Caenorhabditis elegans: one gene and its partners. The protein of the gene in region 4 interacts with the protein of the main gene of each other region in a pairwise test. Each region holds a gene or a part of one and is shown on either strand. Other genes may lie near its edges. The genes, in order: vab-7, ztf-2, mgl-2 and vab-3.

Region 1 (7,728 bases), on a different chromosome or scaffold from region 4:
GTAAAATGAGACAAAAAAGCGAAGAAAATACAAATTTTGTGGAAATTTAACAAAAAAAAATTGGCAGATAATAGGCAAAAATTGAGGTTTTTAGGCCACGAAAAGTGTTTTTGGCTATTGAAAAAGCCTAATTTTAGTCAGAGCGATTTCTAGGCCAGCTATGTAATTTTCAGGTCATCTTAGAATTTTCTAGGCCACTTTAGAATCTCCTAGGCCACCGTTGAGTTTTCTTGACCACTTTAGAAATTTCTAGGTCGCTTTAGAATTTCCTAGGCCACCATGAACATTTTTTAGGCCACCTGGCTAATTTTGTCCATTTTTCCCCTTTTTTTGCCGATTTTTTTTTCCAAAAAATAGTGAATTAATCTGTAGAATAAGGCGAGGGAGAACTTGAGGAAGGGCTATTTGAAAAATTTACAGGTTTTGATTCATCATCATCACTTGAGGTATTCTTCGATTTTGAGGAATCGTCTGAATGTGGAGAAGATGGAGATTTTGTTGAATTTTGTGATAAAAATGATGGAAAACCTAATGGTGGAAGGAATGGAAGAGATCCAGCTGCTGATGGAGATGTGCTGAAAAATATTTGGAAAAATTTGAAAAAAAAACCTTAAATAATTTATTTAGCTAAAATTTTTTCACAATTTTATTTTGGTTTTTACGAAAAAAAAAGTTCCGATTCCAAACATTTCCAAAAATTGTGAAGAAACTTCAATATTGCCAATCTTCCAACTCACCTTGATCCATTATTCCCATAAGCTCCATTTCCGGGACCCGTGGCTCCGAATTGTGAGGCGGCAGCTGTTTTCATCCACATTTCATATGCAAATGGGTTTAACATGTAGGCAGCCATTTGTGGAGGAAAGGGCCACGCGAGACCACCGACTCGTTGCCGTTTATCTTTCATTCGACGATTTTGGAACCATACCTGCAAGAAATATTTCAGAAAATTCGACTAAAATCGAGAGTCACTTGCGAGTAATGGCCACTTGGCCACTTTCCACAAGTTTATTTGAAGTAGGGCAAATGAGAGTTTTCTAGGCCATCAGTAAGTTTACTAGGCTACCTAAAAATTTTTTGGAAAGTTCACAAAAATTCAAAATTTTGAGTCATGTCGGAAATGCATCGAGAAAAATTCCTGGGTTATGTCAAAGGTTCCTCGACCACCGTTTAATTTTCTAGTTCATAAATTATAGTTCCTAGGCCACCAGAAAATTTCCTAGGCCATCTGAACAATTTCTAAGACATCTGGAGATTTTCTGAGTTTTTAAAGTTTCCTGGATAATCTTAGGAAGTTTTAGATTATTTTGAAAAACGCTAGGTCATCTCAGAAAATTCTAGGCCAACAATTTTATTTCTAGGACACTGGAAAAAACTAGGCCATGTAATTTTCTAGGATTTCCTTTCATCTCTTCCCCCGCCCAGAATAAGCCTAACCCTAAGCCTAATAACCCTAAATAGCGTCAGTGGGGGAGCGTTAGCTCCAAGTCTAAGACTAAGGCTGAGCCTAAGCCTAAGCCTTAGACTAAGACTAAGCCTAAGCCTTAGCCTAAGCCTAAGCCTAAGTCTAAACCTAAGCCTAAGCCTAAGCCCAAGCCTAAGCCGAAGCCTAACTCATAAATTTCTAACCCTTCTCCTTCTATACTAATTCCCCCGAAAATCATATTGTAACTAGTTGAAGAGGCTACGAAGTTCTAAAAGTATGCCAGTGGGAATAAAAGGCGCGATACTCCGAAATCACTCATAGGCCCTCCGTTTTCTCCTGTCCTCTCAGCTTTTTCATTTTTCAAGGGAGATTGATATGCAGAAGAAGCAGCGGGTCCCGCGTGTATGTCATGGGAAATGATTTGGATTTGACGATGACGGCGGCAGGGGGACGGGGGTACGGTAGCCTATTATGATGCGGAAATCTGCTTCTAACTTTGTCAGTTTTGTAGCTATAAAAATGTTTTTAACTGATAAAATGTAGAAAATTGAATTTTGAATAATTTGGTAGTTGATAATTTTTTGATAGCTATGATATTTTCAGAGATACGAACGTCCAAAATGTGTTCAAACATGTGAGTGGCCTAGAATTCTCAATTGTGCTCTAGAAAGCTTAACGTAGTCTTAGAATTTTAATAGTGGCCTAGAATCCTTACTGATGACCTAGAAAACTTAGTTCTAGTTTTAAAGCTTCAGCCGTGGCCTAGAATCTTCAGTGGTAGCCTAGAATTCTCAATAGTTGTCTAGAATCCTTAGCGATGGCTTTTTGATGATCTAGAAATTTTAAAATTGGCCTACAATCAACTCTGATTACAAAGAATCCTCAGTGATGGCCTAAAGAGATCGTGGTAGCCTGGAATTCTTAGTGGTGGCCTAGACTTGTCAGTAATAGCTAAAACCGTCTGTAGTGACTTGGTCTGAAATATTATAGGTCGCCCAAAGAGCTATGATGTAGCCTAGAGCCATTTAATACTCTAGGAATTTTCATCCAATTTTTCTCTATTTTCAACTTACCTTAATTGTACCTTCTGGAAGATTCAACTCTGCCGCCAACTCGCCACGTGTCTTCCTGCTAACATAGTTTTCCTTTGCGAATTCCCTCTCAAGCCTCCCAATCTGTTCTCGTGAAAAAGCCGTTCGATACCTCCGCATTTGACCGTCGTCTCGGTTATCTGAAATTATTATAAATCAGCATTTCATCAACAGCTTCCCGACGACAAAAACACGGAGCAAATTATGTTTTTCGTCATACAGAATTAAATAATTAAAAGTGCTTTAAAATTCATCAATAAACGGCACAAATTGACTCTTCTTGTTTTTCATTATTAGCATCCCGGCGATGCGGAATTAATACATGCATTTCTTGATGAAAAACATAATTTCCACCCATTATCCTAGTGAGAGGGATTATGAGAGGAGATGGATGGCCGAGTTTTGGAATTCTAGGCCATGAGAAGGTGAAGGAGTATACTTTTGTGGATCGCTCATATGACTGGAGTATCCAGGTGATTCTAGGTTATGGATAGGGTGTTGTGGATCCCTCGAAGGAATATGGCCCATTCAAAAGGTTCTAGACCGTTAGGGAAGACTGTTGTTAACCCTTCAGATTTTGAGGGGAAGGAGGGGTTTGTGAATTCTAGGCCATGTGTAAGGAAGGGTGATCTGGACAGTTCTAAAAAGTGGTGGCAGAATTAGAAGTTTCTAGGTGACCAGGTCAAGCTTACAATATGCCGATCTAAAGGAAAATGGCTCAGATTGAGCTTTCTTGGTCATGTGGAACTAAGAGTGTTGTGGACACCATAACGGAACTTGGCCGGGTTTGAGAATTCTATGCTATTAGTATATGATGGTGCTTTGGGCCCTATAGATGTAGTTAGATTAGGTTGATTAGGCAAAGCAGAAACTCCCGGCTTCCTATACTTATCAGCGGTATAGTTGTCTCCTGACCAAAAGACTAGCTAGTCTAAAAGCCCACATGACATAAGCCTGGCCGAGCTTGCAATCCCTAGGCCAGATGTACCCTTCCCACTTTCACCCGTGTACCTGCCCGGCCGGAACATTGTGTCCTAATTAAATAATTGGTTCACTCCCCTTTTTACGACTAAGGGTGTCTATGAACTGATTCGACACGCAACACCAATTACATGACACATGGCAACATTAGGGCGATTGACTTCGGGGGAGAGGGGGAAGAGGTTAAGCACATCAGAGCATGTTTCCCAGTGTGTCTATCAGTGATCATATAACCCATTCGCAACACTAACATAGATAATTGACCACTAAACGACGCGTCTACAGTACCCCGAGAGGGGGGGGGGGGCAGGTGTAAAACAAAAAGAGAGAACATTTACGATATAATAGCCGACACCAAACAATCCTCATTCACACTCAGTGATTGTGTCGAAACCGCAACATTTACACATCGTTTATGATGACAGGGAGCTGCGTGGCCTAGGAAAAAGTCTGGCCTGGAAAGCAAAAATTCGGCCACGCCATGTTCTAGGAGATATGAAGCCTATTGAAATTGTATTTTCTAGGCCACAAAGAGAACTTTCAGGGAGGAGCACATGGAACTATATTAGCCCTTTGAAAGTTCATGGCCGTGGTTGAGTTTTCTAGGCCATCAAGAAAAGGGAAGCTAGTACAGCTTTGTTGAAAAAGCATTGGCGGGGATTTCAAAAGATCTCACTCAGTAAAAGTTGTGACGGGAAAATTCAAATTTTCAGAGTAGAAACTTTGGCGGAGAAATTTTTGGCGGGGAATTTGAATTTAAAAAAAACCAAACTGTAAAAACTATCAAAGTTAGAATGTGGAAATTTGTTTATACTTTTGGCCTAAAAAAGGCAACCTCAGTCACTTCTCGGAGGTAACTGTAATCTTTCACGCGTTGGTTCTAGCCCGTGGCCTAGAAAAAACTCGGCCACTGCCTACCCGCTCCACTACTCCCACGTGTCATAATAGGTGCTCATTGTCCATTTGCTCGTGTCAACCTCATCCATCCGCTCACCCCCCTCCACCTCAATCAATCTCCCTCAATTTGTCACCCCCACCCAAATACGGGACTAAATTAGTGTTCAGCGAGGAGATGAAGCTAGGGGAAGAAGTATTCTTGAATAATTATGTCCCTTCTCATCTCGGGCACACACACACCCATTTTTCTTACCATACGGATGATGACGTCCGGCGGCTGCTGCTGCTGCCGCTGCGGCCACCACACCCATCGGGTCATGATGCTGCTGCTCAAATGGAGGGGAAAATGAGGAAGCTCGAGATGCGGCGACCATCTCCACAAGTGATGGGACCTGGAAATGAGAATTCGAATTACGAGATGTTTTATGTGTTCGGATGGGGGGGGGGGGTGTGTCCTAGGTGATGGGGCTAAAGTAGATTTTATGCTCAACGTGGCCTAGGGACCCAAAACTAGGCCATAACAGTTTTGGGGTGTCAGGGAGGCTTTACTTAGAAACTAAGAGTTGCATCATCCTGGAGCTGTCCGGGGGTCTTCAGAGTTCGGCTAAAAGACTTTAGGGTGTCGAAAAAGTTTCAATGATATATTTTTTCAAATTTTTCTAGATTAAAAGAGGTAAAAACAACTTTTTTTATGTAAACAGTTTTTGATCTGAAAATAAAATCGACATTGTTTTACTAGACATAATTATTTTTCAACTACAATTGGAATTAATTTGAATACTAGAAATAACTGAAGTTTGGCTGTCAAAATAGATAATTTTCGGTAATTTCAACTTTTCAAAAAACGATTTTAATTTTTTTTTCTGTATTTCTTAAATCAAAATTTCAAAGTATTAATAAAAAAGAAAATAGTTTAAAGAATAATTTAAAAACTTCTAGCAAAACAGATTTTAAAAAATTAGAATTTAAATGTTTCAATAATTCAAATAACTATGCAACTATGCATTATAGCTGAGATTATGCAATATGACACTTTTTGATTATGCAACCTAATTAAATTGTCCATAACTCTGCAACTAATGCAGTTATCAAAAAGTTGACAACTAACAAATTATAGCTTAAAACATAATGAACAAATTGTTTGTTGAAAATTTTTTGCTTGCATTATTACAAACCAAGTTATAACCACTTTTAAACACTTTAAAAAAATTATCTTTTAAGCTTCAAACGCCCGATAATCTTGAAAATTGTGAAACTGAATGAAACTTTTACAGTTATCAAATAAAATTTTAGCAACATAAATCTTCTAAACTTTTATGATTAGATTAATAATTTTTCATTAAATTTTATTGCATGAAATTATATAATTTTTTATTTCTACCTATTACAGTTATCAAAAAAGTTGAAAAAATCCCTAAAAAACTACAAAAATTTAGAAACTTTAATTTTAATGGATCTTTGACAACAAGAAGTTTACAGACATTAAATAACAGTTCTACAAAAGTAAAAAACATGGTTCTCAAAACAAAATACAAAACAAAAAAATCTCACCTTATTAACCCCAATAAGGGACTCAATATCAAATGATTGCATGCTAATTTTTAAAATTTTTGATAGTTTTTTTTTCAAATAAAAGAACTTGAGTACTAAAACTCAAAGATAAAGGAAACAATAGAATAAGGCGCTGGGCGGGGCTCAACCTCTCGGTGACTACGGTGGATTTGGCCACGCCCCACGCTCAGATGAGAAGGGCGGCCAATAGAAGAGGGGAAGGAGTGCTGGAATAGAAAGAGACTTTAGATAATAATCTTTTTCCATGACGTTTGAAATTTAAAATACGGCAGATTTGGCATTTTTTTGGAAATTTAATATTAAGAGAAAATGTATTGCTTTTCAAAAACATCAGGTCATTTTTTTTTTCAAGTAAAACTTCAAAAAACCAATTAGTGGCCGAATTTTTGAGTTTTCCAGGCCACGTAACCAAGTAAAGGTTCTAGGGCCCTTACAATGAAGAATATTACACAATGATTAAAATTATTTTGCAGACAGTCTAATTTTTTTTCTAGACCATGTTTCCTAATACCCACGAGGTACCTGCGTGAAAGTTCCCCAATAACGGTTCTCAAAAAACTTCAGTATTCTAGGCCACGTGATCAAGCTAAAGTTCCCGGCCGTTACGATGAAATTCAAAATGAAAATTTTCGAAAATTTCACGGAGGTGGCCGAGGGTTCAAATTTTTTAGGCCACAAAGCAACTGGAGCCCCTTAGCTCATTCAATGTTTCATATTAATATACAAATTATTTTCTCTTTTACGGTGGCCTAATTTTGATTTTTCTAGGCCATGTGCTTAGCTAGGTGAAACGGATGAAAAAACTTATGTAAGTATTTTCAACATAAAAATTCAACATTCAAATTGACAGGTGGCCTAACTTGAATTTTCTAGGCCACTTTTGCCGAGCTCGGCAAATTCGGCAAATCTCTTTTTTCAATATTTGCCGAGCACGGCAAATTCGGCAAATTCGGCAAATTCGCCGTGCTTAACAAACTCGGAAAAATTTGATATTTTTTTATATTTTTTGGAGCACCAAAACTACTGAATTCTTAACACACATCTGGTTTCTGAATAAGTTCCGCGTAGAATGTCTGTTTAAGCATCAAAATAGCTCAATTTTGTATCATTTTACTAAATTTTTGGCTAAAAAATCAATAGTTTTAGTCAAAATTGTACTGTCAAATTTTTGACGTGTGCGGCAAATTTCGAAATTTGCCGAGCTTGGCAAATTCGGCAAATCTACTTTTTTGAAATTTGCCGAGCTCGGCAAACGGCAAATTCGGCAAATTTGCCGCACACCCCTGGTATGTATGATCTCACCGTTCTAATAGAAATTCAATTTTGCGAAATCAGAGTTTTGAAGTTTCTTGGGATTCCCATAACCTTTTTTTCAAAACTTTAAAAGCCATCTACACAATGGCCTAGTTTTTCTTAATTAGGCCACAAAGTCAGATGGAAACAAAAAAGTGTTCCTCCCCATCAAAAAGTGATGAAAGCCTCATCAAAAGTCATTAAGTGACATGACTAAGCAGCTCTTTTATTGTCATTGCATGTATCTCCCCTAAATGTTGCATCGGGAGAGAGAGAATGAATCATTCATCAGGCATTCCGCTCCCCCTTCTCTCTATTTCATTACTTTTTGGTATTGATACACTTGAATACATGTGGAAGACAATACAAAATGGTTTAATGTTTACTCTATTTGTAGGGCATGTCCCTTCAAAAGTTGAGTATAGGCAGTGTGCCTGAGAACACTGGAACTTCCGAACCAGGGGTGGG
Region 2 (4,210 bases), on a different chromosome or scaffold from region 4:
TGATTTAGGAATAGTTTAACATCCGAACCTCAATAATGCCACCTAAAAAAAATCGAATCAAACAAAAGCCTTATATGTATGGAATAACTTCGGAAATATAGTTTATGTGTTTGAAATGCTTTGATCGACGGGTAGAAAAACATTCAGTTTTATAAATTAGATAAAATAAGAAATTAGACGAACCAAGGAAAATCGGACGTGACAGGAACAAAGAAGGTATGTAGGCAGGCCAGATAAGAAGCAAGTTAGTGAACTGGCAGTAATGAGGTAGGAAAAATAAGCGTTTCCCAGGTCTGGTGTAGGCAGATTTTGAAATGTAAGAATTATTGTTTTCAAAATTATTTATCGAGATTTTTTGTTGTAAATCACAAATACATGTTTTGGTGTCACCAGAACGCTGCCGCTGCTGTTTTAGACCACAATAGGTGGGAGAAAGGTGGCAAACGCGACTGAATTTCGAGTATTTGTTGAATAATTGTGATATTTTTACAAAAGGTGGGGAGCAGGTGGCAAAAAGGTGGGCGGAAGGTGAGAAGACCTCAAAAGGTGGGAGAAAGGAGGCACTAAATGCCGAGCAAATACAAATCAATAATATCGCTTAAAATATGAGTTTATGCAGTGGTGATAATACTTTTTTAAACAAGCGTATATTTCCAAATATTCGTAACGATATAAATAAGAACAATCCCGAAAAAAAGAGAAATCGGTGAAAAATGTGATAGAGAAATATGGAGGGATGTGTGATAGAAACATGACTCGTATAGTAGAAACAGATAAGGAAAATAAAATTAGCAAAGAAAATATGAATTCACCAGGAAGCTGAGAGTTGAGACGAGATTCGTATGTGAGTAGATACCTAAGATTTGGGGTTTTTTTGGGGTTTGTGTGCGTGATTGGCTAAGTAGAACAGAAAATATATTGGTTCGAGTATATGAACCTGAGATATTCAAGTAAAGAAGTGATAAATTGTTTTAATTATAAATTTTGAGATTATGGATTCAAGATCTTAAGAATTACATCTCAACGTCAACCATCTCATCTTGTTGAGAAGGTGTAAGTATCGTAGTTGGGATGATTTGTGGAAAAGATGTTGGAATAGTTGGACTATTCAACAAGGAAGATTGTAGGAGAGATGCCAAGTATAATGACATTAATGGATTTGGCTGAAGGCTCAGCAGAGCTGATTGAATGTCTGGAAGGAAAGATGGAGTGACTGGAAGTGTTGGTGACAACAGAAGAGGTGATGATCCAAGTTGAGGAGTTGGTAGGGATGATGTAATAATCGATGCTTCTTCTTCAGGATCTGTCTGAATTCCGCTGTCTGATGAGGATTCGCTTCTGCACGGGGATAATGGAGATGCTGAAAAAAGGAATTTAAATCATGAAATTAAACTATTTAAAATTATGGTTTACCTTTCTCATAAGTTGGCATAACGTTGTAAATCATATCAACATGGGAGCATGGACCATTGGAATGAGCAAGTGCTCCTTGGACATCTTCAAATTTAGCGCCACATCGACAAACACATGGGGAGGTGTTGTGAAGATGGCTTACATGACTGTTCAATACAGATACTCTTTCATCTTCAAATGAGCACAATTGGCAACGATAGAACACTGTTCTCTTTTCAGAAATTATGCATCGATCAGAGTCTGAAGAACACGAAGAATCCATTGAACTGTTGGTGGCATCGAAGACTTTCGAACGGCTGTATTTGGAGACAACACGGATTCCATGAGTTTCTGAAATTATTGAGGTTGGAGAATACATTTTCAGGTATAGCAGAAGCTAATTGATTACATTTCAAAAATTGTTCTAAGCTGCCAAACTTCAAATCTGACAGAATTACAAAAGGTTTAAAGCGAATTCAAATACCTAAAGTAATAGAAAAGTAATATGAACTCACTTGCAACATGTCGAATAAGGTCAGCCTTCCACTTGCTGGTTCTGGAGCAATAACGACACTTGAATGGTCTTTCACTGGTATGAACTCTCTTATGACGAATCATCTCAGACACCCATTTTCCTTGGTAACCACAGGTAGAGCAGGTGCGTGTAGATACATCAGGATCCAATTCCATTTTTTTCATTTCAATCTCATCATCTGGTCCTTCAATTGCTTCTTGTTCACTTAGATATCTCTTTTCAAATGGTTGATCGTCGGCTTTGCGAGCAACAAGAGCATCAAGAGTGTTTGATGGATTGGCTACTTCACCACGTCGTCTTTTACGACGATGTTCTTTTTCAGGTGAGGAAAGAGTTGAGAGTAGAGTGGATACGTCAAGGGCAGTGAGCAACGATTCACAATTCATCTTAAATTTACGAAATTTAAAGAATGCAATTAAAAAGTGGAAATGTTATAGTAAGTTTAGAAATGTTATTTTTTCAGTTGTTAAGTTTGCAGATTCTAATATTGAACCGAGATCAAAAATAAGAAAGAGTAGACCACGAATGAGAAAAAGTAATGAAAAGAAGGTGTGGGAAAATTTGGAGAAAGAAAAAGTATCAATGTACTTGGAACTGGAGGAACATTCTGATATCTATTTTGTCTAGAAAGACGAGAGAATTGGAGATAAGAAGTGGAAAAAGTGAAAGTTGCTCCAAGATAAGGGAAGGGTCACCAGGAAGCAAGCGCCGATTCGGGAAGGAATGGATATGGCAAAATGCGGATGGGGCGCGCGGTACCTTTTCGCTCCTACCACAGTATGTTGACACAAGTTTTGTTGGGGGAAAAAGAGGAGGAGGCCGAAGGGTGGGAGGTCGTCGCATCAGCGAACTGTTCACTTCCGGGGCTGACTGACTTTCACAGCAACAGCAGTAGGAGGAAGAGGATACGTTTACTTTTTACAAAATATCAGCAACACACAACTCTTTCTTGCGCTCGGCCACAAGGTTTTGGTTGGACAAACAGTTCGGTCAGTGAACTCGTTTTGAGCCAAAGCGTACGTGAAGTTGGAGCATGACGTGGCCATATTGAGATCGGATGACCGTTGATGGGAGGAGAAAGAGTTTTGGGAAAGTTATTTGGTATTGGCTCACCTGCTCCCAGTTAGGCATAGTGCTGCAGAGGTACAGGCGCAAAGGCTACTGTAGGTGGATATAGGGGACGGCTAGAAAAATAGAAAAGGGACCGTGGAGATTTTCAAACCCAACTAGAGTATTCCGAGATATCTAGTGCTTACTGTAAGTGAATGCAAAAAAGAAGAGTATGATGTGTATTATGAAGGTTAATTATTGAGAGCGATCATCTTTCGAAAAAAAGTGCACTTTCCGAGCATGAAATTGCCAACTCGGATTTCTAGAGAATTTTTGAAATCCAGGGCAACAAGAACCATTCCAGAAAAGAACGTATTTGAAAAGACTGCAATAGTAATTCTAGACGTCTTGTGGGCTTTTACCAGGCACAGGTAAGTTAGCCCTAAAATGAATATGAACTTACAAAAGTAGCTAGGTGCTTTTTTCTTTTCAAATAAGTGTAAAAACTACGGTAGGCAGTTACTCAAAATATGACGTAGAGTTTAACATAAACCTTACAAATATCAACTCGGGTTTCTAGAGTACTTCAAGTATTTTTGAAATCTAGGGTAACTAGAACCAAAACATATTTGAACATAATTTCAAAGATGACCTTCTTCAACGTCTTCAATGCCTTCTTGTTCCTAATCGTCATCGTCTTCTTCTCTTTTTCAATTCAGGCACATGTTTGCTCAAGCACAGTTTGCGTAACCACCACCATCGCCGCGGCGTCTCCTGCAGCCATTCGGTTTTTTCTCGCGCCCTCAACTTCTTCGAGGAAATCCAAATAGGAACAACCTGGTACAGAATGGTCGGAAAGGACCTCAAGGCGGCCCCGCACAGTTCAAACACATGACAAGCAGTTTTTAGGAGTAAAATGGAGGAAGTAAAGGTAATAGAAGAAGCATCGGTTATAGTAACCTAGATAAAGTAAAAGTGCATTTGTGCTCATTCGCTAGTTTCTGCCAAAAAGAGCAGCACTGTCAGCTCCTCGGTTCCAGGAGGTACCAGTTGAAGCTCTTATCACTTACACTTTTGCGCCGAAAACGTGTGGGCTGGAGGAATCACTTGCTGCTGAGTGTGCAAGTTTCACGAATGGCAACAAAAGGGCAATTGATGCAAATACTTTTTTTTTCCAGATTTTCAGACAAATTGCCTCTCGTTCAAAAATTGAACAATTAAGGGAGATGGTAG
Region 3 (7,938 bases), on a different chromosome or scaffold from region 4:
ACTGCTTTACCAGCAACAGTTGATAACACTGTTCTCATGCTATTCTCAATTGAATCAGCCAGAAGTGCTCCTACCTCATCTTCAGATTCTTCAAGAAGTAGATTTGCAGCCGATGAGTTGATTTTTTCGTCCTAGAAATTGAAAAATTGAAACTATAAAAAAACTAAGAATAAGTGTACATACTTGATATCTTCGACAAGCATCAACAAGTTGTTGCACATCATCATCAAGACCTTGTTTCTTCCGGCCAACTATTGAGAAGCTTCGAGAGAATTTACTTGCTGCTAAAAGGATATCAAAATTTGATAGAAAAACTATTTTAAACATGATTAATGGAAAAATTGATCTCAACGTGCCTCAATTTTTTACTTATACTGAAAACTCAAAAATAACTTCATAAACTCGATAAACTGTGTGTCTTCAAACTGGCGTATCTTTAAATATATATTTTTTAAATATGTTTTGTTCTCACCTTCAGTTTGTGTTGAGACATCAGTTGAATGTGTACTTCCACGGGAAACAGGTACATGAACCGATGCTGTTCGTGTGACTCCTCCACCCATACTTGAAGATTTACTATAATTAAACATCAATTATCTAAAACTACGGAAAAATGGAAATTGACAGAGCCTCGAAATAGTCAAAAAAAACATTCACAGGAACTTCTTGAAATTTCTAAATTTTTAGACGTTTTCAAAGATGAGATCTTTGAAATGCACCCGTTCTCGAATTTAAAAAAAAATTATATTTTTGTAAAAATCTCATAGATTCAAAAATAAACACATCACTCGGAAATTGTACAAACCTTGCAGATCCACTCTGAACAGACGTTCTTGCAGTCGTCTTCGATCCAAGATGTTGTTGTTTACTTGTACTATCATAGGCAGCTTGAGAATTTCCGAAATGACATCTTATGAGCTTTGTAGTTGTATAAGATGCTCTGATATTCTTCTCAGGATGCATCAAAATTATGTATAACTTCGGAAAGAATAGCAAAGCAAGAGCCACAGATGCGGATAATGAATAGGAGAAGCTCATCACTAATGCCTTGTGAGTTGTTCCCATGTGAAGTACTAGAAATGCAATCCAGACAACTACTGTGCAGTACCTGAAATAATTAAATAAAATAGGAATTTATTAGATAAAATAACTGAAAAATGATAACATGTTCCTTTTGAAAAAATGGTAATGACTTTGCTGGCTGAGAACTAAAGACAACTACAGTTTAAATTTTGAAATTGCAAAAAAAACTTACATAGTAAATCCAATGAACTTTGCCTCGTTAAAGTTCTCCGGAAGATTTCTTGTTTTGAATGCATATAGTGTGCACAAAGTAATCAGAAAAAAGTCCCAAAAGAATGGAATTAGAAATGATTTTGTTTCAGTGTCACATTCTAATATCAACTTTCTTGGCAATGCGTACTTGGCATACGTGGCATCCGGCCAATCCCGCATCAAACCAACTCCGACGATCACACATTGAACTGCTACAAGGATCCAGGTTATCACTACCTGAAATTGGAACATTTATTTAAAGCGAGTTGACTTCTCTGAATATTTATTCCAAAAGAATGAGGGCAAAGCCTTTGGAGCATTATGAAAAAAGTTATTGAACAATTTTCAAAAACTTATCACACATGTCAGTTATTAGGAATTGAGTTTCGCATGGCACATTATTATTTCAACCTAATCAAACAATAACTTGTCAAATGAGAAATGCCTCATTCTAGATAATTTTCAAAAGTTCATACTGTTTCCAAATAAAAACATGAAGCTCGTTCCCAGATACTTTATTCGATTTTCATCATAATTTATAATATATTTTTTCAATTTCTCTAAGGTTCCAAGTTCTCACCTGAGAAAATGTAGTCAAAAACCGTGGTTTCTTTGTCAATATTCGCTTTTTACTTCCAGCTAATATCCTCGCTATTCGATTTGTCTTTGTAAGTAAAGCCGAATATACAACAGCAAATGCAATTGGTGGTATAACTCTTGTGATGAAGCATGAAGTTGTTGATGGAGTTGCAAGTAATGCAAATGATACAGCATAACACGCAACAAGACCAGATAAAATGATATATGACAGTTCTCTTGTTGTACTCTTCACAACTGGTGTTGAGTTGTGACGAAGGAATACAGCAAGAGTTGCCATACTTGTAATGATTCCAGTTACTGCTAGAACAAGGGCCAAGATATGTCCAAAAGAAGTCCATGAAACAACTTCAGGAATGATATATTCACATCCTGTTCTATTCGCATTTGGCCATGAGCCAAGAGTACAATTCATACATTGATTTGTTGTTTTATTCACATATTGGATATCCAGACAAGATTCACAAATCCAGCAACACGCCATTGTTTCTCGTTGCTGGAAAAATTTGAGTTTGAATATTTTTTGCATGCTCAAGTTTTGATTTTGTGAAATCTCTTTTCAAAATTATTTCACTTGAACATAATTTGTCCTTCTTGTTTAACTTTTTCCCAAAAAGTGAAACTGTGATGTTTAAGGCATTGAGAGATTGTATAGTGGACATTTTGTAGCAAAATACATTTGTATGTGACTTTTCAATCAGTAAAAAATTTTCTGGTCAACTTCCAAAAATTATACAAATCCACATACCCTTTGACCAATTCCACAAGGTCGACTGCAAACACTTTCTGGTAGAAGTTCAGTTTTATCGAAAAACATTGATTTAGCAGTCATATCAAGCTCTTCAACCCCATAGTCATTAATCGATTTGAATGATCCAACTTCATTGTACGGATTATCAAGATCCTTGGTTCCAATATAGTTGAGGATGTCGTACCTGAATAATTTTTTGTGTGCTTTATTCAGCTCGTAGGTGACAATTTCCGCAATTGCAGGGAGTCGATTGCCAGAAATTATAGATTACTGCAAACCCCTAGTTGGCGTCTGTCATAAACTTTGTGCTTCATGAACTTAACGATGACGTCGCTATCTCATCCAGTTCTAATTAGTTTTTTGTGCACGAAGAGAGCAAAAGTTCAAAAACATATTCACACTAATGAATTTTCAAATAATTTTAGTTAGTTTTCTAGGAATCATGCTAGATCAGTTGCTACTTACCATGCAGGTGGATCTCCATTTCTATCAAAGTATACAGGTTGTTTAAATTGATCACTATAAGTCACATTTAGCAAGTATTCGTAAAGCAATGTTCCATTTCTAGAGAGCATTTCTGTGCAGAGTGTTGAATTGTCACTGAAACATACGTTTTTTGTCGTGATCTGAATATTTCCAGAAAACTGACCGGCACCGGTCCTGATACATAGCCTTCAAGCCGAGAGCAACCACACGGATCGAATTGATTACTTGTGATAGTTTTGGATCTTCTTTGTATTGTTCATCTAAATTCTCATCACCACTACAGATTCGGATGTTTTCATTGTTTTTGTCTTCTTTTGAAACCGCGAACTGGCAACTGGAAATATTGAAAATGAATTTACATAACTGGAGACAATTTAATATTTTTAATGACAAACAGTTTCAGCGTTGTGGCCGTCCCCAGAAAAAAAAAACTGATTCTGCTGACCAGAAAACTTGCCTACCGTTTGATTCATGAACTTTCAGGGTTAGGGTTTTGTAGGCTAAATTTTTGTGATCTGAATCGAGAAGAAAAATATAAATGAGTAAAATAGGTATTTGTTTTGCATGAATTTGAACTTTGGCTTTTTTTTTAATTTAAAAACAAACTTGAACTTCTGCTGCCAAAACTCTCGAAACCATGGATTCATAGTGTTATTTTCTGGATGAAGAGCTGTGTAGTATTGTCGAAATCCTGGAATCTTTGGAGCATGAATTCGAATTGAAAATGATCCTTCAGCTTCTTCTTCTAAATCCTCAACAACATCATTTCTATCAGCCCATCCATCAGATCCAATCCATTGAAATCGTTTCATTTGCATTTTTCCATCGGCCAAATGTTTTTGAGCTTTAAAGAACATTCGCATTGAAGCTCCTTCACAGAAGCATACGACGACTTGAGGTCGAGAATTTTGAGAATCGAGTCGTGTAAGAACTTGTCGATATTCTTGTTCACTTGCCAAAGTCTTAATCTTTTCTGAATACGCTATACAGACTGATGATGATCGATGTGCAATTAGCTTTTCGAGACTTTCGAATCCTTTTTCTCCGTAGTTGCCTGAAAATTGTGTATATCAGTTTACTTTCAGGCGACTCGCTTTTTTTCTAAAATAGAAACTTCTACATTTTCCAGAAAACCCCTATTAAATTCAACTTTCAACTTTGATTCCATTCATATTTGATCCCTTTTTTCCGACCAATGTAGTCGTTGACTACTCGGATTCTTCACAAGAGATATCAACTTCAGATGCCACCAACAATTTAATTATTTTCTTTTTTGCACAAGCAGAAATCCCCTCTCCCTCTCGATTTTTGCTTGAGCCAGAAGGCTTTTCCTTGTGTCATCAGATGGCAAAAACGAGATAGACACAAATTCGATTCCACTTGAAGCACCCGCAGGGCATGAGAATTGAGTGAGAAAAAAGAAGAGGAGTTAACAGAAAATGGAGATATGGAAAAGTGAGGGTGTATTCTATGATTTACTTTTTTTAATAATAGGAAAGGCCGAAATGATTCATTGTAAAACTTGTAAAACGTTTGACAGATTTTTTCGAAAAAATAGACGCTACTCATGTAATTTCAGGAGCACTTTGAAGCATTTAAATTTCGATCTCATAGTCAGTCAAAAATATTTCAAAAATTTCAAAAATTCTCTGTGCTCCAAAGCATCAAATTTTTTGTAAATCCTATTTTGAAGATTCTTTTCCAAATGACAGTGCAATTTCAATTCAAATGTATATGCCAGACAATCCGGAGATTTACCTGCTGAATATAAAACTGCAACATATGTCCAGTTATAATGATGTAGTAATCGATTGATTGCTTGTGCTTGAAAAACATCAGATGGCACAACACGAAGAAAATAACCGAATTGTTCTTTGTCGGATAAGTCTGGAGTGGTGGCGGAGTATCCGACTTGAGGTATTCGAAAAACCTGTAATTTGTAGTTTTTGGGTATCTCTAACGGGGTTTCCAAATATATACCTGTAGCAAATTCTGTACTGCAATAGTAGAAGAACTCTTTCCAGGACCAATAACCGCCACCACAGGAACACTTTTCTTGTTACAACCAGGTGTTTGACAACATGAACATTGTGCAACTCCTTCTCGTAAAAATGCTATTGTCTGTTCCATTGCTATTCGTTCTGTCCAACATGAATCTCTGAAAAGTTCCATATTGTTTTGAAACCTGATTTTTAATATCAAAAACCGTATAGATAAGCCTAATTTGAATGGCAATTCCTCGTTGAGCTGTTTCACTGTGAGCATTGCAATTTCTGATCTTTGAATTCCATACTGTTCCCATATTTCGCCACAGCTCTCAGATCCGGCGATTTGGCGATGGATTGGAAAGAGTGCGCCGATCTAAAAGTAAACTTGCAGTTTTTTTTTAGAATGGACGATTTATTGAATATCACTAGATTTAGAGGCAAAACTTTTCAAAAAAATTTTTTTTTGGAATTTACATCTGGAGTAGAATCAGGTAAAATCCTCAGGGTGCTATAATATTTTAAGTAATAAAAAAGAATGTCAACAGTTGAAAAATCAGCATTAAAAAACACAAGCACATATTTTTGTAACTGATAGCAAAATATAATTTTCGGAATATCTGCTAAAGGTTTCAATTCCGAATTTCGGGATTTAGCGCAAACTAGAAAAGCTAATTCGAATTTCAAATTACTTTAGATGAATTAATCGTGAATATCCTACCTGTATCTCTCCATGAATCTCTGCCACAAGCATTCGTGCCGACTGTTGGACCGTCGTCTTTGCAACGACATCGACAACGCGAAGCATGAGAAGTGTGACATGACTGTAGAGCATTTCGCCGCGTTTTTGCTCTTTTCTACACACATGCACTCTTCTCTGATACCTACCACCTCGCCTTCATTTCTACTACAAAAAATGAATGAAAAAGATGGTTAAAAGAATAAAAGAAAGTGAACGGATGATCTTGAAAAATAAGAGAAAAAAGGAAGAAAAACGAAGAAAAAATGTATAAGAGATCCTTCCGCGTTGAGAAGTTTTTTCGTCTCATTGTGAATGACGAAGTGAGGGGAGCAAGAAAGAGAAAATGGATAAACAAGGATATGAGCATATTTATGAGATTTCAGATATATATGTGTATGTATACCTACAAATATTATAAACAGGTTTTATATAATAAAATTTGAAATTAAAAATGGCACAAAAACATGTTATTGTTTGATTTAAAAAATTGTCGATTCACATTTTTTCTACACAAAATTTACAAATTTCCTTTCCTCAAAAATGTAGAACAATATTTTATCTTTCTGATAAGTACCTCAAATTTAATTTTAAACTTTAAAAAAATTGAAAATAAGTTGTACAACTATTCCAAGAAGGGAAATTAGTATATTTTCCGGAAAAATATGACAAAAATATCTGCTGTCACTTGAATAAACTTCTAAATGCGATTGTCGTTTGTAAGATATTAACAGTTAAGTTCCAAAAACTCTAGTGAAAACTTGCCTACGTGCCTGCCTGCCTGCCTACCGTCTATTTTTTGACTTCTGGGCTGAACTCAGGTTTTAAGCGTTTGCACAGTGCAGATTTCAATTCTTTTACAAAATGCTCAATAATATGTACTTTGGAAGTAGGCACACCTATAGACATAAGGCAGGCGTAGGTCACCTGCAAAGCACATACAATACTTTTTTCAATTGCAAGAGAATGTAAACCCATAAAACATCAACTCTCCATACTTACTTCACTTAACTTTGCGACGTCACAACTTCAGAATAATATAAGAAATCCTTCAGAATTTTGAATGAAATGAGTGTGACAACTTGTATTCAACTGCATACTTTTAGAAAGAGAGCAAAAATGTGTCTCACAAATCAAAAAAATATATATTTAGTTGGGAAAGTTTAGGTTTATAACCAAGCGTTTTTTGAGAAAGAAACCAAAATAAGATATGAAGTATGCATACTTCTTATCAAAATGATAACATACACTTTTTCGCATCAAATTGTTTGGCGGGAAAGCAATGCGAGTCTTTAAAAATTGAAGTGGGAATGATAATACTTTGAGCTTTAGGTTTAGTTCAAAAGTTTTCTTGGGAAAATTTTATGCCAATCAGGAAAAAATGGATTTTTTTAATTACAGGCACGAAAATGCCTATTTGTGTGCCTACAAAGTAAATTTCCTGCAAGACGACCAATGTCTACTGATCACTACGACTTGTATAAATTATTCACGGCAAAATAGGCGTAGGTTATCTTTAAGGCAGGCAGGTAGGCATCTTGTAAAAACCTGCTTCTGGCAGAAAAAAACCAGATATACTATAAAAACTGTCAGCATCTGTGATTGTGACATGCTCTACTATTAAATGATAAATTGATGAAGGATATCGAAGAATCGAACATCTCTTCATCATCTTATATGAAAACATTTGGTTAGGGAGCTGAATGGCTGATTTTTGTGTTGTTGACCCCCATATTTGATAACAAAATATAATCGAAAACTAAGAGGGTCCTAGAGAAATAAAATAAAAACATTGGGACATCACACTTGTCGTGGGATCTGTTTTCTCCACCCCTTCTGCTACATCTAGTTTTCTTCCATACATTTTCAATTATTAGTCGCTTTTTTTGCTCTTTTTCTCTCTCTTCTTTTTGCTCCTTCTAGACAAGAATACAGAAATAAGAAGGAGATAGAAGGTGAGGCGACAAGTAAAAAGAAAAAGAAAGTAAAGAAAATGAGAGGTGGGTGGGCGGATTGAAAACAAATATAGGCAATAAGGGGTATATGAAAAAACGGGAAAAAGGAAAACGAGGAGAGAAGAATGAGTCAAGAGACAAGGTGAATAT
Region 4 (4,791 bases):
TTTTAATAAATCAAATTGTCTATTGTATGTAGTTTTTTTTTTGGTTTTACATTTACTGATTATTAGATTAAAATTAAATAATTCAATTTTGAAAATTCAGAAAAATAGTTTTGACATCCTCTACTACCTTTTTTTCTCATTTTATCTTTAAAAAATTAATTCAGGGCGATCATTCCCGCCAAATACGGACATGAATCCCATTTGGTTACCAAAAAAGTGCGGCGGCTGTCGTTGAAAATAAAAAAATCCAAAAAGTGGGAAAACGACATCTTCTGTTCACTCATGCGTACAGAATCTCCAAAAACATTTCGCCGTATTCATTTTTGGCGTGATGTACCACATATGACTTGGTCCAGATAAAGGTACTGGTGTAAATTTGTCTGTTGTGTAATCGGCATTTGACGCTAGCTTCTTGCCCAAGTTTGGCAAAAAATTTCAACTTGAATCACAACACGATAAGCTTGGTTTGGACTGTGTTTAAGTTTACGCCAAGTTTGATCCAAATAACAGTTTTTAAATAATATTTTTTTTAATTTTTGGGAAAAACGCAGGTAACGCCAAATGCCAAGTATAATTATTTTTAGACAACCGTCTAAAATTTGGAAAATATATTTTTAATACAAAAAATCTTACTCCGAGATTGATAAATGTGGAAATTTTGTAAACTACGATAAAAAATGCAAATTATTCTTAGTGTGTCAATAAAATTTTTCTATTTACTTTTCACAGTCCCAGTACTTGTTTCCTGCCAGATTTTCTCAAATAGGACTGACACCTGAAGCGGAATAATTTGCTATTTGACTTCCGAGCCCTCGAATTCTGGCGGGCGGTCCAACAAGAAGAACCCTCAATATTCCGTTAGTTATTTGTCGTCTCTGAAGACTTTATTGTCGGATGCAGCGATACCGTAGTCCGAAGAAAAGAATAGAAGAAACTGACAATGAATGGAGAAGTGGAGTAAAGCCAGCTACAAGCAGGGCAGAAAATATAAATGAATAAGTAAAGAAATCAGTTACAGAAAAGTGACATTAAATTTTTTCCACGTATCAAATTATGAAAATTATTCATAGCGAGGTTTTTTAAATGTTTAATTTGCAGTTACACTGCTTGAATCCGAATATCGATGCGGTTGCATTAATATTTATGTATAAGGAATCATCAAAAATAAAAGCAGTAGCTGATTAAAACTTATTTTTAAATCAGATATGTGGTGCATCTCCTTTTCAGAAACCAAGTAGTTTTGTTCGATCTGTTAAATTCTGTTAATCACAATGGTTCAGAATGTCTGTAAACATGCTTAGAAAACTAATGAGGTCGGTGGAGCAGAAAGTCTGTGAAAACTTCTAATTGGAATCAGGTGCTGGCAGTGAAATCACAAAATATCTTGGTCTGTACACCGGGCAAGAGCATGCCTACACCCCGCGAGTTTGGCATGGCTAATCCCTTGTTTGACAGATGTTCAGGGGGAAGGAGCTACCACTGAATAGTTTCCACGTGAGTAGAAATTGATTCATGTTCATAACATTGATGGCAATGTATTCGAGAAACAATGCCCATCTGCCACAAGTTGCAAAAGGTAGATTGTGAATAAAGCTGCGCATAATCCATAGAGAATATGAATGAAAACTCCGCCCATTTCAAAGAAGACGATTGGCCCGAGAATAGAAGCAAAAAGTCAGCGGTGTCCTAGGTGAGACAACGGAGAAAACGTGTCCGGGCGCGGCTCTTTTCAATTGTGGACCGAGAGGGAGAGACGTCGACGTCTTCTTTTTATGTCACACTATATCGTTGAAATAGTTTCGCGCTTTTTTGTTCTGTCCCCCGAAAGTTTGTTGGACAGTTAGATACTGAGGATCTCTTATTCTAACACTTCCAATATCTACACTTACACTAAATTTTACGCTACACAACACCAAAATCCGCGAGTATTCAAATAGTGACGGTCGAGTTGACAAAAGTGAACGTGGTGAGTTAAACTCTTGTTGGGTAATGAGTTAGCAGAAAATCAATAAGATGGCGAGCACTTTCAGATGGGCGTGCTAATGAGGTGGGCATGGGCTAGAAGTAAGAACTACCCTTCTTCGTCGGCATATATTTTCTCATTTCAGTCTGTTGCCTTTCTGCTGATTATCATTAGACTTTCTTGTTGAGTAGATAAATTTTGATGCCTCATTGACAATCATAAATAATAGAGAAACAATCGATATTGTCATAATGATAACAAACTAAGTAGGAATAATGTAGAACTGGTTATATTTTGAATAATTTCAAAACTCTTTGGTCTTTAGGCTAAATATAGAAACCGAGTCCTTCTCGAAACATTGATGTCGTGGGCTGCTATCATGTGTCTCCTATGACTTCAAACTTTTCTGAAATTACGTTACCTAATTTTTTTGAGCTTTCATGTTGTATCACAAAAATTTTTCATTCTGCTATAATTTTTCACAGATAATTGTTTGGTTCTAAATTCTGGGCAAAGTTTCAGAATATATTTTGAACTTTAGAACTGAATTCTTGAGCATTTCTGATTTAAAAAATCTTTTTGAACTTTTGCTACAACTTCTTTTCTCTACCATAAAATGTTTTCAATCTTGTTCGATGCTTCTACAAAAACTCCAACATCAGGAGCCATGCTTTCTCCTCCCACTTATGTTATTCATTGTGTATGTACATCCGCATGTGTCCATCATTGACTCCAAATTCCATTAGCCATCTACCGTATCTGGATTTCCGGTGTGTGACGCCGACTCCATGGCCAACACAGAATCATCGTAATTCTCCCCGCAATCTACATATCGCTACTCCAATTTTCGAATTTTGCCCCGTGTTGCAATTCCAATGCATTCAATCAAATTTAAAAGTTTTGATGATTTGTCTACTCATTTTTCCCACCCGTTCCGTTTTCTCCATGTTCAACATTTTTGTCGCCACCACCATCACTGAGAGGGGTTTTTGTAATTGGCTTGAATTGACACCCATTAACCGGCACACCCGCTGTTTGGAAGATGTCATAACGAAAACGTCGTTTGATGGAGGTCTTTGTCCGCGCCTTGTTTCCCTGTCCCTATAGTTGAAGGTGTTCGCCATCAGGCACCACTACTTTTTTGGCGCCCCTCTCTTTTTCTCTCTCGTCAGTGTCAAACGAGTAGTTGAAAATTGTGCTATTCCAAATTACATGGAGCCCCACTCCTCTGACCCGAAAGCCTTTCCATCAAATTTCGTTTTAGTAGATCTTTTTAACTTGTCATTATGCTCCTTTGGATAAACGATTTGGCTCACAGGCAAAGCATTTTCAACTGTGGGGACATTCCGGAAACACTTAGCCAATTGATAATGACAGTCCATCGATGAGTTATAAGATATGTTATCAGATGTACAAATCTGACACCCATACAACAGTCCTCACCTCGCTCTCGTCGTCATTCAGTTGCCAAAATCGTCATGCCTACTTCCAATTATGCAACTTTATCTTACGGGAAAATCTAATAACTTTTGCATTTCAGCTATGGCACACATGTTCAAGACATATTTTTAAAAAGTGAAAAGGTTGTCGGGAATATATAAAGATAAGGTATTGAAACTTTGGAAGCCCACGTTGAGACACTGTAAATAAACATTCACATTCACAATTTTTATCGTAGTCACTAATGTCTTGTTCCTTTAAAAAACATTTTCAATTTGCGGATTACAGAGGAACTAACTTCAAAAATTAAAAAAAAATCATTGAAAACGTTTTCTAGAATTACTTTTATTGAGTTAGAAAAGTAGAATCATGCGCAAAGTTTTTAAATTGATGTGCAAGAAAAAATTATCTTTAAGCCTAAAAAGCAAAATCCAATTTACGACACTTCCAAACGACAGTAAAAATTTTAAAAATTCAAAACTTCTCTTTTTATTTTTATCCGCAATCTTTGAATCACCAAGACCACTATTATGAGCAACTTCAAACAAAAAAGTTTATGAGTTCAGATGTAGTTCGAGATACTGAGTCATGAGCCTTCTCCTTTTCGTTCTCAAGATTTTGATCTCCTCAAACCGAGCTGGGTCCATTTCTACAGCATTGTTCTATTCTTTTGTCAAATTGGCTTTTTTAACCCTTTCTTACCTGCCGAGGCCTTCTTTGTTACCTTCCGATCACCACATCTCGACGGTCCTCCCCTCTTTATCTTACTTGCTGCTAATTACGTGTTCTCGTCAGTCGGCTCCAGGCCCGGATTAACTTTGACTACAAAACATATGTCGTTTGTGTTGTCTCGCTGCTGCATCAATTCTGGGTCAATAATTTGTGATTAGCTACCACCTCCGGTCTAATTAAGGGCTCCACAGGTTGAGGCAGCTCACCTTCTGTTGTTCTTGTTTGGTAATACCAAAGCATCTATGTAGTTAGACTTTTGTAAAAGATTATGAATCAGTGAATCAGTACTTGCAGACAACTGAAAAAGAGTACATGCTTACTTTGACGTTAATGGAACTTCTAGAAGTATCAGATAATGTATTAGAAAATAGGTACCTGATTATCATATGGGCCAGTGACTCGGAGACGAGTGATAAAGTATCACATGTAACTGAGCATGTAGTACATGTACCCTAGAAATCCCACCTTCCATCTCACCTTTTTCGGGTCTTACTTCTGTTATTCTTTTTTAGTTTCCATAATTCACTCAAAACCGCTCATTACCATTACCACATTACTACTTCTCCGCTATATGCATTTGATATTAGACACCAACTATTGTGACCGGTGTCTTCAGTCTTTTCCCGCAATGGAGTAGGTGACTGTCATTATTGTAA

Evidence for each region.
Region 1: the proteins of vab-3 (region 4) and vab-7 interact in a two-hybrid assay, tested with the Caenorhabditis elegans proteins (one large-scale study listed by BioGRID).
Region 2: the proteins of vab-3 (region 4) and ztf-2 interact in a two-hybrid assay, tested with the Caenorhabditis elegans proteins (one large-scale study listed by BioGRID).
Region 3: the proteins of vab-3 (region 4) and mgl-2 interact in a two-hybrid assay, tested with the Caenorhabditis elegans proteins (one large-scale study listed by BioGRID).

What each region holds. Positions count from the first base shown.
Region 1 is NC_003281.10:10,918,646-10,926,373, reverse strand, and holds vab-7 (Homeobox protein vab-7), read right to left. Parts: upstream 6,031-7,728; 5' UTR 5,989-6,030; coding exon 5,947-5,988; intron 4,788-5,946; coding exon 4,649-4,787; intron 2,658-4,648; coding exon 2,500-2,657; intron 929-2,499; coding exon 738-928; intron 576-737; coding exon 362-575; 3' UTR 333-361; downstream 1-332. UniProt on the Caenorhabditis elegans protein: Transcription factor. Involved in motor neuron fate determination and maintenance, acting as a transcriptional repressor to counteract gene activation by transcription factor unc-3 in a subset of motor neurons.
Region 2 is NC_003279.8:7,289,375-7,293,584, reverse strand, and holds ztf-2 (Zinc finger protein ztf-2), read right to left. Parts: upstream 2,314-4,210; coding exon 1,908-2,313; intron 1,744-1,907; coding exon 1,414-1,743; intron 1,361-1,413; coding exon 1,014-1,360; 3' UTR 633-1,013; downstream 1-632. UniProt on the Caenorhabditis elegans protein: Transcription factor. Represses gene expression, probably via binding to DNA consensus sequence 5'-[AT][CT]TTCC[AC][AG]-3' in promoter regions. May play a role in pharynx morphogenesis.
Region 3 is NC_003279.8:10,385,388-10,393,325, forward strand, and holds the start of mgl-2 (G-protein coupled receptors family 3 profile domain-containing protein), read right to left. Parts: upstream 6,002-7,938; 5' UTR 5,930-6,001; coding exon 5,816-5,929; intron 5,471-5,815; coding exon 5,316-5,470; intron 5,268-5,315; coding exon 5,090-5,267; intron 5,040-5,089; coding exon 4,868-5,039; intron 4,574-4,867; exon of another isoform or gene 4,441-4,573; intron 4,388-4,440; exon of another isoform or gene 4,239-4,387; intron 4,164-4,238; coding exon 3,716-4,163; intron 3,444-3,715; coding exon 3,273-3,443; intron 3,224-3,272; coding exon 3,089-3,223; intron 2,808-3,088; coding exon 2,621-2,807; intron 2,369-2,620; coding exon 1,856-2,368; intron 1,513-1,855; coding exon 1,256-1,512; intron 1,109-1,255; coding exon 806-1,108; intron 577-805; coding exon 473-576; intron 285-472; coding exon 184-284; intron 132-183; coding exon 1-131.
Region 4 is NC_003284.9:10,498,140-10,502,930, forward strand, and holds the start of vab-3 (Paired box protein 6 homolog), read left to right. Parts: upstream 1-1,750; 5' UTR 1,751-1,966; intron 1,967-2,098; exon of another isoform or gene 2,099-2,154; intron 2,155-2,948; exon of another isoform or gene 2,949-3,055; intron 3,056-3,990; exon of another isoform or gene 3,991-4,096; intron 4,097-4,431; exon of another isoform or gene 4,432-4,572; intron 4,573-4,791.